3 linked regions of the Drosophila melanogaster genome follow. The gene in region 1 interacts genetically with each later gene. Each region holds a gene or a part of one and is shown on either strand. Other genes may lie near its edges.

Region 1 (4,942 bases):
TTTCGACTTTAGCACAATTCGTGCGTTTGGGTTCTATTTCTAATTATAATACCAAATTGAAAAGCACATATTGGGAATTCGGGGAGCGTTTTTATACCCGTACTCACCTATTAAAGAGCAGCTGCAGAGGAGCAGCGCCAAAAAGACGCCGACTGAATTTGGCGGCAATTCACCCATTTTTATCGCTGTTTTTGCAGTTGTAGTAGTTTTCTAGTTTTCCCCGCTCGCAAATAGCTCTCGTTTTAACTTCTTTGGTTTGTTTACGGTTGCACACGAAAAAAATGTTTAAAAAATTTCAGTTTGTTTTCGCTGCTCGTGATTGCACAAATTATTCTATTCTGATTAACACTTTGCGTTCGGTGTCTTTTGTTTTTTTTTCTTTTGTCTGTTTCGGTGTGTGAATCTGAAAGTATATTGATAATGAAAGAAAGATGAATTAGCTAAGCTTTTAATAGTAATATAGATAGGGTTTTTTTTTAGTTTAAATTCATGGTAACTGGCTTTTGTGGTTAGTCAGATTGGGCCTTAGAAGTTCATCTGCATTTGATATTTGTCATAACTTTAGCATTTTAGCTTCAAATGGCAAATGTTGGCATTTATGGGCGAGGAGAAGAGGAAGAAGGCAGTGCAAGCGAGACAGCGCGAGCCGATGTTGTGTGCGTGTGTGCCTTGTCTCTTTTGCATTCTCTAAAATCGGCGGCGGCAGCGAAGAAGAAAAAAAATGAGAAAGGAAAACGAAGAAAATAAAACTTGCTGCGCCGCCGACTTCGCACATGTTGGCCAGTTTTTGTAACGGAAATTACGGTGCTCTCGGCAGTCGAAACACGTAGTGCAGGGGAAATATGGTAGGAGCAACACAGACACAAGGGGTAAGGGAGGGAAGGGGGGCTTTGGATAAGGTAGGAGAGGATTGCTTAAGCTGAATTTTATCTATAAGTTTGTGTTCTCAGTAGATCGTTATCTTTTGGGTTCGAGAGCGAAATGTATATTTCTTATCGGCACATAAGTTCGTGCGTCTCTCCAATAATTCATGACTCAAGCTTTGTCTCTCTCGCTCTCTTTCGCCTTCTCTCTCTCTCTATGTCTACTGAAGTTGCACCTATGCTGAGTGTCCTTGAATTGCAACAAGTTCTAAAGTACAGTTATCGCTCGCTTTAGAGAATATCGTAAACCAAATAAAAAACGGTTGAGTTATAGAATTGAACGTGACTTCAATGCAATGACTAATAATAAAGGTAGAATAAGTGATCAATAAAAGTTAATTTTCATTTACAGTGACGCCTTGCAAGCAGTGCTCTTTTTTTTTTTTTTTTGAAAACTCATAACAGTCCTAGCAACAAAAAATATTTGCATGCAGGCGAGGGAAAACTGTAGTTACTTCCTCGCGAGCTCGTCTTGCCACTAATCCCGCCCACTTTGCACAGCGGAACTTTCCCACCGCACCCCCTCATTTGGCTTACGGTTATTACAGTTACTGGATAATCGATATTTAGGGCAGGCCTTGACTTTTTTTTTCATAGGAACCGCGCGTATGTGTGTCTGCGGCACGCGAAATATTCTTGAGAATATTTCGCTTTCATCTCGCTTCATTCTTGCTTTTGGCAAATTGAGACATTGTTACAAAATACCCGCGAAGCAGTTTTAAATATTCATAAAGTTTCGAAAACGCTAATTATAATGAGAGACTTGGCCAGAGGGGAAGTTCTGGCAACGGTAGAGTTTTTGTGAATCTGTTCAAGTTGCACAAAGTTTAGAAGTTTTCCACTTGATATTCGTGAATTATTAATGCTGTCAAATGATTTGATTTTGACTTTCGGCGCGACCGACAAATTGTAATTACATCTGCCGTTTTGATTGCCTAGAATTGGACGAACTCAATAGGATTTTGTAGTCTTAATTAAAATATGGCTCGGTTAGGTTTGATAAAACGCAATAAACTAATTTATTAATGCGAAACTAACATCTTGTTCGAAAAACTGCCAAAAGTAAAGCGGCAAAAGTTTTCAAATAAGCACTCTATGAAGTCGATGAAGTTAATTTACCAACTTTGAGTTTATTCCGACTTGTTAACAGTTTAAACAAATATTTTTAATCACATTAAAACTTTTGCAGAAAGCCGCAGCAAACGAAATAAACTTTTTGATATGCGACATAAAGGCAATTTTGACAGACAAAGGAAAAACGAAACCGACTGAAATTGGTCGTGAAATTTGAGAATCTATTCTTTTCTATTTTTTTTTTTTTTTGTTCTGTGGTTAACATTCCAGATTAGTTGTGGAATCAATTTGCCCGGCTTTTCCTAATTCTTAACGTGTTTCTTTTTTGTATGTTTCATATTTCCTATTTGCCAGCTGCAAGCGTGAGTCAATTTCCAGTGCACACTGTTGGTAGTAACAACAATAAAGTTGGCAGCGAAGCGGGCCCAAAAACCTGTTTTCCGTTTTATTTTTCTTGCTTTTCAGGTGATGTTGCTCTTTTTTTTCATATTTGTTGTATGCACTTTTCCAACTCGATTATTGGGTGAGTTTTCAAAGGGTTTTCATGGAGGTTTTCATTGAAATAACTTTTGCACGTGACTCATTGGAATCTTGGGCTAAAACAACAAAACAGCATAGACTCAGCAGAGCGAGAGAGATACATTTGTGTATTTTTTGTCACACGCTAAAAAAAAAGTTTTGAAAAAAAAAATATGTACAAGAATGCCGCCAGTTTATTTTTGGTTTTTGTGGAGCTGTCTCGACATGTTTTTTGAGTTCTTCTCATGCACGGCCAAATAATGGCTGTTATGAGCAGTTATTATTATTATTTATTATTACCAATTTCTCATTGTTTAACTGGCACACTAACACACACGCACACGACGCGCCACGACCGTTAACACATACGGTGAAGAGAGCGCGAGAGAATGCGAGTATGAAGAAGAAGAACCACTTCTGTTGTCTCTATTTGTGTTTTTCTTTCTCTCAGCAAGCAGAGCACTCGACGCGTTGGCCGTCGAAACGTAACTGAAAGCACCGCTAGCGCTGCCGCCGCAAAATACCACAGCTATTGCCGCGCCACAAGATCTGGCAACCCCAAATGTTGCCAGCCGATGCGACGCAGCATGTTGCCAACCGAAAGTAATCAAGCAAGGGAGATGGTAGAAGTTTAAGAAGTAAAGTGCATAGATAATAGCAATTTATAAAACCGAAAATCTGAGCTCTTTTAAAATGAAATTAATTTACATAAATAACGTAATAAGTGCACAGGAATATTAATATCAGTTATTGGCCAAATATGTTTTCAGTGGAGACTAAAAGAGATGGAGAGTGTCTACCGTTAGGCGGCGAAGAATTCAGCTCTTTTCTTCTCGAGTGTCAGCAAGGTCAAACGACAATGGGCGGAGAAACTGGGCGGTGGCACTTAAGCCCCATTTCGTCACTTTTACGAGCGACTGGTGTCAGGTTTTTTGACACGTTTTTGTTGCCCAATCTTTGTGGAGCTTTGTCAACAAACTTTCAGAACGAAGCATTAAAAATGTAACTACTTTATTCGGGGGCACATTTAAAAGAGCTACACGTATGTACATATATTACGCAAAGTGTGCTATCGCGAGGAGATGATGTCTAGCTAAGGTTTTTCCGATTGATATGCAAGATGAAAATCTCACACTTCGATAAGTTTTGTAAGAATATTCGGGAACACTATCTAAACATCCTTCGAAGTTAGCAGCATGTTGCCGAAACCTCTTGCAACATTTCGAAATGAGGAAAACCAAAGTTTAACGTCTTATTTTTCGGCACAGCATTTTACGATCTTGCTGTCGAAGTAACCGACGAATGCTGGGGGGAAAATCGGGCGGGTATGCAAGACGAATTTTCCGGCTGGCAACATTTCGGATATTTCGGAGACGGCCACTTGTTGCCCGCGCAACATCGAGATTCGATTCCAAACAAAAACTTCTTTTATTTTCAATTGCCGCGCTGTCAATTAAACCAGCCTGCGGAAAAATCGTGACGAGGGGGGTGATTTTCCCCGGTTAAGTGGAAACAAAAAAAAAAATCGCAGTTACGTTTGAATGCGCTGTGTGCAATTTACTAAATGAAATTGCGTATAGATGCCAATGCGATGTATTCTGCAGTTATCATTGTTGTTTTGTTTCGTTTGTCGTTTGTGTGACGGAGCAATTTATCACCGTATACAGAGGGGATATATGTACCTACATATATCTATATACCAGCGACACCCCTCCCCCGCCAGAATCACCAATAAGTGATTTATAGGATTGTTATTTTGTCGTTGATGTCGCACTTTCGCTGCGCTTTATTTATTGCTCGGAATCTTCCTCTATCTCCCACACACAAAACAAAAACCCGATACGCCCGATTCGCCCGATTTGGAGTGCGTTAATTTTATTTCACAGCCGGCCGAATTTTCCGAACTTTTCACAGATGAATATTGAATTGATCGGCTGGCTGTGGGAACTATGGTGACAATCGTTCTTCACGCTTAATTTGCTAATGCGTTCGACCTTTGACCCATGATGTGCCAACGATGTGAACATTTTGGCTATCAACAAATAGGATTTAACACGATTGCATTTAAATGTATTGGCGATTTAAAAAGCAAGAATGTAATATAAAGAAATTAGAACATAAATATAAATAAATAAGTAATTATTTTAAGAATCTTTGGTCTTGGCACCAGTAATCTGATGTAAAAACAAAGGAAATATGCCCATTTCCCGCCGAGAACTGCAATTATTTAACAATTATGGGAACCAGTGAACAATGGCGATAGTTTATATGTTGTTCAAGCCTACTTGAAATGGTTTCGCCTGACCTGTGACCCCGAAATCCGACTATCTGCTACCTGATTTGAAGCCAGCCAGCCAGACAAATGAAGACGTCGATTTAGTTTTCGGATGGGTGGTCCTCGAATCAATCTCCAGCTATCTCGGCAA
Region 2 (4,667 bases), on another chromosome or scaffold:
GGAATAAAGACACCGAGGCAATCACAATATGTTTTTCACTGTCTGATTGAAATTCTATAAATTACAATATACCGATGAGCTCTTTACTTCCATTTTTTCTCATTTTATTTTCTGCGGAAATCAAGGGGCGATGCTTATTAATCCATTGGATAAGTGCCAAATTCATTGGTTGTTTTTGCCCTCATTCCGATCACGAATCTGGCCATGGAAATTTTCTTTTGATTTGCCAGACGAATTCCAAGAATCCTCGATCATTAGTCAGGCAGGAACATTTCATGAAAATACCTTATAGTTATTAATGGCGCATGCAAATCACTATTAAATATGCAACAGCAACAATGCCCAGCCCTCAAATATTTGACTAATTCGCATTTTATTAATTTTACATCGTTGCTCATGGTTATTACATTTATATATGCAAATCGCCAACCGATTACCCTTGTTAATCATCTCTCCCAGACCCAAAGCCATATTTAAACAGTTGATAAATCACAAGTAAACACATGGGCTTAATTTTGTGTTGCATTGGCAGAGAATGAATAAATCAAAATAAAACCAAATGGAAAACCATAACAACCATGACGCAGCTCGAAGAATTGTCGCAATTGCCGCCGATGAAAGACCGTCCTGTTGACAGAAAGCCCCAAACAAACAGAGTGCGAGAAATCTCTCAATGAACATAAATATATATAGGTATCTGAGATGTATCTGGACCGAGAATAAGAGTGACTATCAGAATGAGACGTCACACCCCCACATAGCCAGCATTCTTGGAAGCTGCTACGTGTTCCGCCTGAGTACCCACCGTCTAGGGAACTGCATCTCGGTTATATCAGCGGACTTAAAATATGCACTGTGACGCATTCGTAGTGCCCTGAAGCGGGTTCATCGATTGACAGTGGTGTCTGGTGTATAAGTGCACAGGAAGAAAACGATTTAAATAAGTTTCAACATTGGCACAGACCACTATACTGATCACAATTGTAAAACCCTATTATATTAAATCTTATAATTTTGTAATATTATTATAATATTCTTAAGCCATCAGTAGTGCAACGTTAAGTATCCCCAACCGTTTCTCGCCGTGTAGATCTGTAGTGCGGTGGCGTTACCGGGTCGGGTATGCAGATTATGGCAACGTGCTGTAGGTGGAGCATGGAGTATGATATGAAGCATGACCGGAGCAACAGCACGTGTGTGCGCCACATGGTCAGAGGAAGAGGAAGTTGGATCTCTGGCGAGTTTACGACTGGGCATAGCTGAATTATTAGTTGATTTGCGGCCTGACAGATGCGCTATTCTCTGCCGTTTCGTGTGGCGATCTCTTTTTGGCCATGGCGCCAAGTAACTACAACTATGCATATTGTATGCTATTATATGGCCGAGAGCATAAACCAGGCCCCTGCACGCAATTAATAAAGCTGCCAAGGTAACAAAATAAACGCAAAGAAAAATGCAATCGACTCTCCTCCACTTTCCACTCATTTGGGGCGAATTTATGGCGCTTTTGATCGCCCGACTGCCGCAAGAAACACTCAAGTTATAAAGACACGAGTGGATTCGACTCAAACGATCGATCGATCCGATCTCTCACTTCCCGAACAACTTGAGTGAAGAAAACAGTCGAATCGGTTGACTTGACGATCCAGTGCAGAACCGCAAGCGCAGCGAGCTAGAACGCCACAAAATCGGCGACGGAAAAATCGCGACATCGTACGAGATATATAGTACCAAGTAGTATAAAGTGCTGACGAGTCGAATCGAGTGCGAGTGCGAGTGCGAGTGCCGGTGAAAATACATTCAATTGTTTTTCCCGATTTTTGTGCCCTCGGGTTCAAGTGTTTAAAAGCCTGAAGTGCTAGTTTTACACACAAAATAGGTTGCAGCTTAAAGGTAACAAACTAGGCTTATTTTGCTAATTTTTGGTAATTTAAGAATTGAGTACTTGAATGCTTAATTGTGTTAATTTATTTTAAAAATTTCCGCATTGCCAAGTGTTGTGTCAGAAGTTAAATAGCCGGAATAAAATGGTTTGCTTATTTTTCCGCAAACAGAATTTTCATATATGTTTGAAAGGCAAAAAAAAGTTTCAGCTCAAAGAGCAGATTCAAAATAGCTTTTGTGGAGTTTTTAGCTAGAAATATTTTAAAATTAATTTTCTCTTATCAATTGATTTTTAAACTTTTCTCTTCTTTGATGCATTTTCCCCTGAGGTGCAAATTTCCACCTCAAAAACAAGTTGCAACTCAAAAGCCAAAGTACACAGCCATGTTTGTTTTTATTTTATTTTAGTTTTAGTTTTAGAGTTGTTTGGCATTTAGAAGATTGAAATTGAAATTGAAGGTATGCAAAACGCGCGACACAGACGCGTTGTGTATTTTATTTTGGGGCTATTTAAAACGCGCAGTGGGAAATGTGCCGACGTGACACAGCGACACAGTTTTCCAACGAAACGCTCATTTCTATTTATTGGCGTTTATTTATAATTTGTTTTTATTTGCCTAGCTGTGCATCTGCCTTCCCTGATCTTTTGGAGCGCCCCGAGTTTTCTTCTGGCCTTTCGAATTGTCTTAATAGTTTTTATTGTCGCCAATTTGTAAACAAACTGCAGGCCATTAAGAAATATACAACTAGTTTGCTTGTGCAATCCAGTCTGATCGTAAAGCCCATTTGAATCTGTGATGTACAAGTAACAATTTTGTTGGATGTCAAGGAAAGCGAAACGGTTGTGTGCGCCAGAGGTATTTCCATATTACGCATACGTCATGTGTGTTTTGGCATTGGCCATTTAGTGTCTAAAAATAAAGAAAAACATTTAATGCTTCTCGACTCTCACAAAAAAAAAAAAAACACCAATAAAATGTACAAGCACATCACAAGGGAGGGGAGTAAAGACTTCTCCAGGGAAATGCATTTCAAGTGGGTTTTCCCCTTTCTTTTCCATTGAGTTTTCTTTTGACAACTCGCATTGTTTCGCATGGATATTCATAATTTCGTTTTCCTTCATTTGACTTTGGATTCACTGTTGGCTTTTCGTTTTGTTTGTGCGCCATTTAAATGAGCTTGTATTTCGTATTGGCTTTTCAGCTTTTCTGGGATATTATATACTACGTTGACTTTTATTTTCTTTTTTTTTGCCATCAGATAACACTTATTATCGAATGGAATTTAAATTTCTAAAGTCTGCTAATTTTTGAATTGAATGCATTGTTTGCTTTTCTTACGACACATATTGCCATATGGCACCTTAACATTATCTTAACCGCAATTGCTTATTGAGGGAGAGAAAATCCGGTTAGTAGGCTACACTGAAATAAAAAAAAAATGTGTCCTAAAGATACTAGAGTGTTTGTACTCATCATGGTCAGATAAATTACCTTGAATAATAAAACTAGAACCATTTAAAACGTATATTAAACATTTCACATGATAATAATCATTGTAAATTGATATGTTTCTTTATTATGAATATCAGGCCTATTTCAGCGACTCCGAGAACGACGATCAATATAATGTAATGTAAGATTACGCATTGTATCCAATTCGCAAACAATAAAAAACCACAAAAGCTGGGCAAATAAAATTGTCATAATCGATGATTGTGAATGTGGCTTTTCCCTCGCACATCATTCAATTTGCCATATTTGGCGAATGCTTTTAAATCCCCAAAAAAGTCCGAAAGCCATATACGGTTGGCGATACAGATACGAAAACATTGGATCTGGATTGTTTATGCCGACACACCCACATTCTGCTCATCCCATTGCCTTTAATAAATTTTCTTGTGCAAATCTTGCAATTAAATATTATTGTACAAATAAGACAGCGCGACAAAGAGACTTTGGTTTGGTATTTTGGTCTTTCGCCACCATTAATAATTTCTGCCTCCCCCATGAATGTGCGTAAATTTCACAGGTCTGGCAGCAATTTATCGACAATGAATTTGTTTTTTTGGGAACCCGGAGCTCCTCCATTTGTGTGTGGGCCATGGGCCGTCAATTTGTCAGCTTCCCTGCTGCGTTTCTGCTCCTTTTATCTCAATGTCCCTCAATGTCTTTAACAAGAGCTGTCAACCGGGTCTTAAATGGAGCCTTGTTGGGCTGAGATAAATCACCCAAGTTGACGAAAACCGATTCGGTATTGTCACAGAAAATCACTTGAATATTTAATTGAACTGCCAGCCGGGTTATTTGTGCAGAGTTTATTGATTTTTATGCAAATTCCAGCAATTTGATAACTAAATGCAAGACCACACAGTGCGCACCATTGTATTTCCGAGCCAGAACCCACATTATACATAATATTGTATTTTCCGGCATATGCATATGTTTACTTTGCGGTCTTATATATATGCACATGCTATATGGGTTTCGCTCATTAAAGATTTATATTTTTATGGTCCGGCCAATGCAATGTGAGTCCAGGCCCCAGACCTTCGGGTCTCCGATTTTGTAGGAACCCTTCCCCCCCCCCCCTTCACCTACCATCCTCTTCAGATACATTAGCATTTTTAATTGAATTTTCGTTACGCATCCTGGGTGAAATGTTTGTTGATTTTGCCACGCCGCCAGACAATTTGTGTTATAAGTTGAGAAATTTGTGGCGTTACTGTTTCGCTCTTTAATTTCGCGTCTCAAAATGAAATCCCCAAAAAAAAAACGTGACGA
Region 3 (4,917 bases), 4.3 Mb from region 1:
GACCGCCAGTTTGGTTCAGGTGAGTTTTGAATATGCTAAGGCCGTTTGCTGATGTATGTACATACATACATACATATGTCATTATAAACCCTCCGAAAACACAACGCTAATGTGCTGCGATCGTTTCAGGTGATGCTGCTGCTGTATATTGCCCACATCATTGTGCACGCGATGTGGAAGTGGAAGATCGATCCGGATAACTCGGCCATACCCTACCTGACGGCCTTGGGCGATCTGCTCGGCAGCAGTCTGCTGGCGGTGGCGTGGCTCTTCACCATGTCGGTGGGCATGCAGTACGGATCCGGAATGGAGACACTAAACGCACCTAACTAATGTAGCTAACGAAATAGGGAGTACGGAGTAACGTAGAACGATAAACAAGGCAGCCACACATACACACACACCATACAATATAAAGAACTGTTATGTACCTAAAACAAATATACAGAAAACATAGAAATTGTACGTATAGCCAGCCTCCTCCAGCCACCCAAAAATCTTAAATCCAAGACAAAAAAAAAAAACCTCCCAACACCAAACGGAAACGGAAACGGAAACCGCTATAAAACGAACTAACTTTTAATGATGCATGTCGAATGCTCGAGGCGAGAGATATTAAGAGATATGATATCATTTTACATTGTGTCCTTCTTCACATGGCTTTTGCTTGTGTTCCTTTTGCTCTACCGAGAAATTATGTGCGATTATGGTATATATACAGGCTATATATAGGCATATGTAGAATTGCAGGCCGCTGCGTCATATTTTTTAAGGCTTTTAGGACAATATTATACACATTTAAAGAAAAGTATATACATTGTATAGGGAGAAAAAGACGACGAAGAATTACTAAAAGAACATTTACGCCACGCAAATTGTTTTCTCCCACTTTGGTTCTTGATTCTTTCGCTCTTGATTACCTTAAACAGCCAAATAATAATTGCAAAACGTAGACGTAAATAGAGCCTACTTAAATCCTTAATTTACACTTAACCAATTATGTAGTATTAGCGCAGATTTGATTTTTGCAAGTCTCGCTTTCGATTTTGTTTTTTTTTTTAATATTACTTTTCTCATTGTCCCCTTCCATCCCCCTTTCCATTTCCCCCCCGCAGAGCGCGAGCGATAAAAAGAAATAGGAGAAGCAATAATTAAACCGCGAATTGCGATATATATGATTGCAAATTAGTTAGGACGATGGAAAGGAAGTGTGTATGCAGGAGTTTGTGCGTTCTGCTCCGCATCAAAAAGTGAACAGGGATTAAAATGATGAGAATGAGAGACGTTCTGAAAGGAAATGTGATCGATATTTAGTTATAACAATAATAATAATAATAATAATAAATTAATTGAAAACGTAAGAGAAAAGGCATCAATATTGTGTAATACTTGAAACAATAATACCAATTAAATAAATATGTTGGAATAAACGAAAGAAATCCAAATAGTTTCAATATCTTTATAATTAATTATGTTTCTGTTTAGCGTTGCTCAGAATTGTAATTAAAACGTAAAACCATTTGAATTTGAATATTTTGGCGCCCAGTTCATCAATCGATATATCATTCATGTTATGGGTAGCATTGAACACACTATCGATAAGAGTCTCTAAAGAGTTACAAATATCGATAAGAGCGTAGGTTATTTAAAAGTATATCGCATCCCTGGTAATCAATCGATAGTTGGTATATCTTAGATAAATATCGATAACCGTAAACCAGTTTGTCGGTGATGCCACCCCGCATTCCGTGCGTCCGATTGTTACCGTTCGCGAGGCTGGCAGTTCCTCTCCGCATTCGAAAAGAAAATATCCGCGCTGCTGGTTGTGTATGTCCGCCAAATCGTATTTACTGAAAACTACGCCGAAAACACCGCGATACATATTCGCAGCCGAGCGAATATATATCGTTATTTGGGTGTTTAAGCACTAACTTTATTTATTTTTTCCTAAAAATTCCGCGTGTATAACATAACTGTCCCAGTGTGTGTGTATATGCGTCGGTGTTAGTGTTAGTGAGCGCCGGGAATTGAAAATAAAATAGTAAAAAAAAGAGGAAAAAAAACGAACTGACGCCGCGTAGAAAATTGTCTTATTTACTCCGCCAATATATAAATTGGTTTTAGCTCTGCCTTCGCTTTTTTTTTTTAGTGTGCGTTCGTGTGTGTGAGTGTGCGGGTGTGCTTGTCTGGGAATTGTTTTAAAAAAATAAGAAAAATTGGTTGCCAAACGAAAGGAAGAAAAAAAAACCCAAAACAAAATTGTTTGTCTCCTTGCGTTACTTCCACCTTCATTTTTTGTTGTTTTTTTACTTTGCACACTGTGCCGCACCCAAAAAGTTAAATAGTTGATGGTTTTCATTAATGCAATTGATTAAAAATGAATGGCAATGCAATATTGTACGAAGCACACGATGACAACAAAAAAGGAGAAGGAGAGCAAATCGGAGGACGCCAAAAGCCACGCAAAGGCAACAACAACAGCAACAATGGGCGCCATTAACTGTACAAGAGCGCTCAAAACCTCAACATTTAAAGCTCTGTGTTTTTTTTATTTTTCCTATTTTTTTGTTGTATTCTAGTTGTTTTTGTATGTACATATGTATTTACCACGAAGCCAAAACTTCGTAAGCGAGTTATTGAGTGGCTCCTTCTCACTCGCTCCGTCTCTCACGCTTTGGCGCGTCGCCCTCTCCCGCCTTCCTCTCTCTCTCTTACCTGAGTTTTGAGTTTTGGATTCTTGAGCGCTTTTTGGCAGAATCCCGTCATCTAGTTGTTGTTGCTGCTGCTGGCTTCTATGACTTAAAGGTAAGCATTATGGATTTGAACCAAGTTTTCGTCCAAGGGCGTAATCTTAACTCCACACACACTGTTTTTTTCTTTTCATTTTTATTGGTGGCTCTAAAACAGGTTTTCTAGCAGCTAGCGAAGATGGTGACGAAGAAGAAGAGCGCAGACAATGAGCGCGAATTACGGCATGTGTGTGTGCGTGTGTCGGTGTTCTTGTTTTGGTGTGTGTGTGTGTGTGTGTGTGTAAGGTGGGGCAGCTTCAAGAGATCACTTTTTGAGCTCTTTTTACGTTTTTTGCCCTCTCCCTCGTTCGTCGCCACTTTGGCGCTCTTCTCGCATTTTCACATGTACTTTCCACGTTCCTAGCGATTTCTCTCTAAATTCTTTCGATTTCATACCTCAAGTACAGAGATAACGGGTTTTCCATTTACAATTTAGAAGATACAAAAAACAAACAATCTTTTAGCGTTTTCAGTTTTATTTTCGTCTAAGCCATTTAATTCATTTACTTTAAAATTCTTTAAATTTAGCAATATCTGAAACAACTGATTTTCAATTTTTTTCAATGATTCTCAATTGCAAACTGAATTGAGTTTAGTTAGGTAAATATATACATTTTGTACTTCTCTCCGCTATTTTTTGTGGTTTTTGCTTTTGACCATGCGGTCATCGCGACGACGTCATCGTTGTGAATAGGTTTATATATATGTATGTACATATATGCATATGTATATGGCAGTTCGTTCCGCCCCAGCAACGCCGTCGACAGCAATGCCTCCGCCCCGAATCGACCCAAAAACGTATCAAGAAAAATAATAATAAATAAATAAAGAAATAACAGAAACTGAAACTGCGTCAACTGAAGCAGCATTAAAAATTAGCTAGTTAATAAATGCCCTTGTTGGCCTTTTGGTGTGGGGATGTCCGGCTAAAGATACAAGATACAATAAGTGATGAAGATATTACTTCACATGCTTACAACATATTAAAAGTATTTAAATAAAAAATATTTGCTAAAATTGTACGAGTTTTTGATAACAAGTTTTATCAACCGGCGACCACAACAGCAAAAAAAAAAAAAAAAAAAAATTTAAGTGCAAATTTCAAAAGTTAATTCAAGAATAAATGTTTAAGCAAACGAAACCAAATCCAAAGTCACTTTGCTGATATGTAATCGCAGCTATTTTTTTTATTTCAAGCACAGTGTGATGATAATTTTCGGCCATTCTTGACTTTGAAAAAATCAAGGCCAAGGTGATCGGAGAATATTTCCATGTTGCATGTGAAAGACTATTACTATTATTTATAAATTCAAGTCCCCTTTCAATGAGGCTAACCTCCAGTAACTGGGATCGTTTTCAATGAGAGCGATAAGAAAAGAACTTGAAACGAAACATTGAAGCTTTATCGATAGAGAAACATCCCCTATAATTTATGCCATTAACAATTGGAAAAGTCAAGCATAATTAAAGCAGTTCATTAATTGAGTAGGTACTGAAATGGACACTCACACTCGAGGCCATTTGAATAGGTACAAAGCATCTACTATTTACTGTTTTTTTTTTGGTCATGCTTCGCCTATTTGCTATTTGGTGATTTTTCGCATATAAATTTTCAATTTGTCAACAATAAATCATACGCAGATCACTGATTACTCTCTTACATATATTTATATGTTCTTGGATTTACTTGGTTACTTGGGAGCTTTTTCCTATATCTTGGATTCCTAAACCTCAAATATATTCCATATTGCCACTTACATACATGTGTATGATCTTGGGTGATTTTCCTCGTAATTGAATTGTTCTTGAACGCCAGAGGCGAACTTTTCGTTTATCAATTCTCCTGGGGCTTTTGTAATTTGTGTGTTATCTACTTTTGAGTCGATCAATTCTTGATTCACACTTGAGGCACTATATTGGTTTTGTCACTTCTGTTGGCTGCTGAATGTACATACATACATACATAATATGATATCATCGATATCTATCTGCGAACTCTCGCGCAATTTATGAGAGATTTATGTTGATATTTTCATATTTTTTTTGGGCGTGCAATTGCCTGGCATTTGTTATAATTAAAATGGAACGCCCCAAAAAGTTGGGGGAGCTGGTAGGAATCAGCAGGCAT

What was found. A genetic interaction does not mean that the proteins touch.
Region 2: of Fas2 (region 1) and Timp, changing one suppresses a phenotype caused by changing the other (phenotypic suppression), as found in Drosophila melanogaster (one study listed by BioGRID).
Region 3: of Fas2 (region 1) and Nrg, changing one enhances a phenotype caused by changing the other (phenotypic enhancement), as found in Drosophila melanogaster (one study listed by BioGRID).

What each region holds. Positions count from the first base shown.
Region 1 is NC_004354.4:4,203,084-4,208,025, forward strand, and holds the start of Fas2 (fasciclin 2), read right to left. Parts: upstream 3,011-4,942; 5' UTR 2,817-3,010; intron 404-2,816; 5' UTR 178-403; coding exon 108-177; intron 1-107.
Region 2 is NT_033777.3:10,209,985-10,214,651, reverse strand, and holds the start of Timp (tissue inhibitor of metalloproteases), read left to right. Parts: upstream 1-1,644; 5' UTR 1,645-1,893; intron 1,894-4,667. UniProt on the Drosophila melanogaster protein: Metalloproteinase inhibitor that acts on both matrix metalloproteinases Mmp1 and Mmp2 in vitro. Complexes with metalloproteinases and irreversibly inactivates them by binding to their catalytic zinc cofactor.
Region 3 is NC_004354.4:8,515,594-8,520,510, forward strand, and holds the start of Nrg (neuroglian), read left to right. Parts: upstream 1-1,894; 5' UTR 1,895-1,916; exon of another isoform or gene 1,917-2,805; intron 2,806-4,917. Other genes in the region: CG33181 (uncharacterized protein), read left to right, coding at 1-19, 130-333. UniProt on the Drosophila melanogaster protein: Essential for septate junctions. Septate junctions, which are the equivalent of vertebrate tight junctions, are characterized by regular arrays of transverse structures that span the intermembrane space and form a physical barrier to diffusion.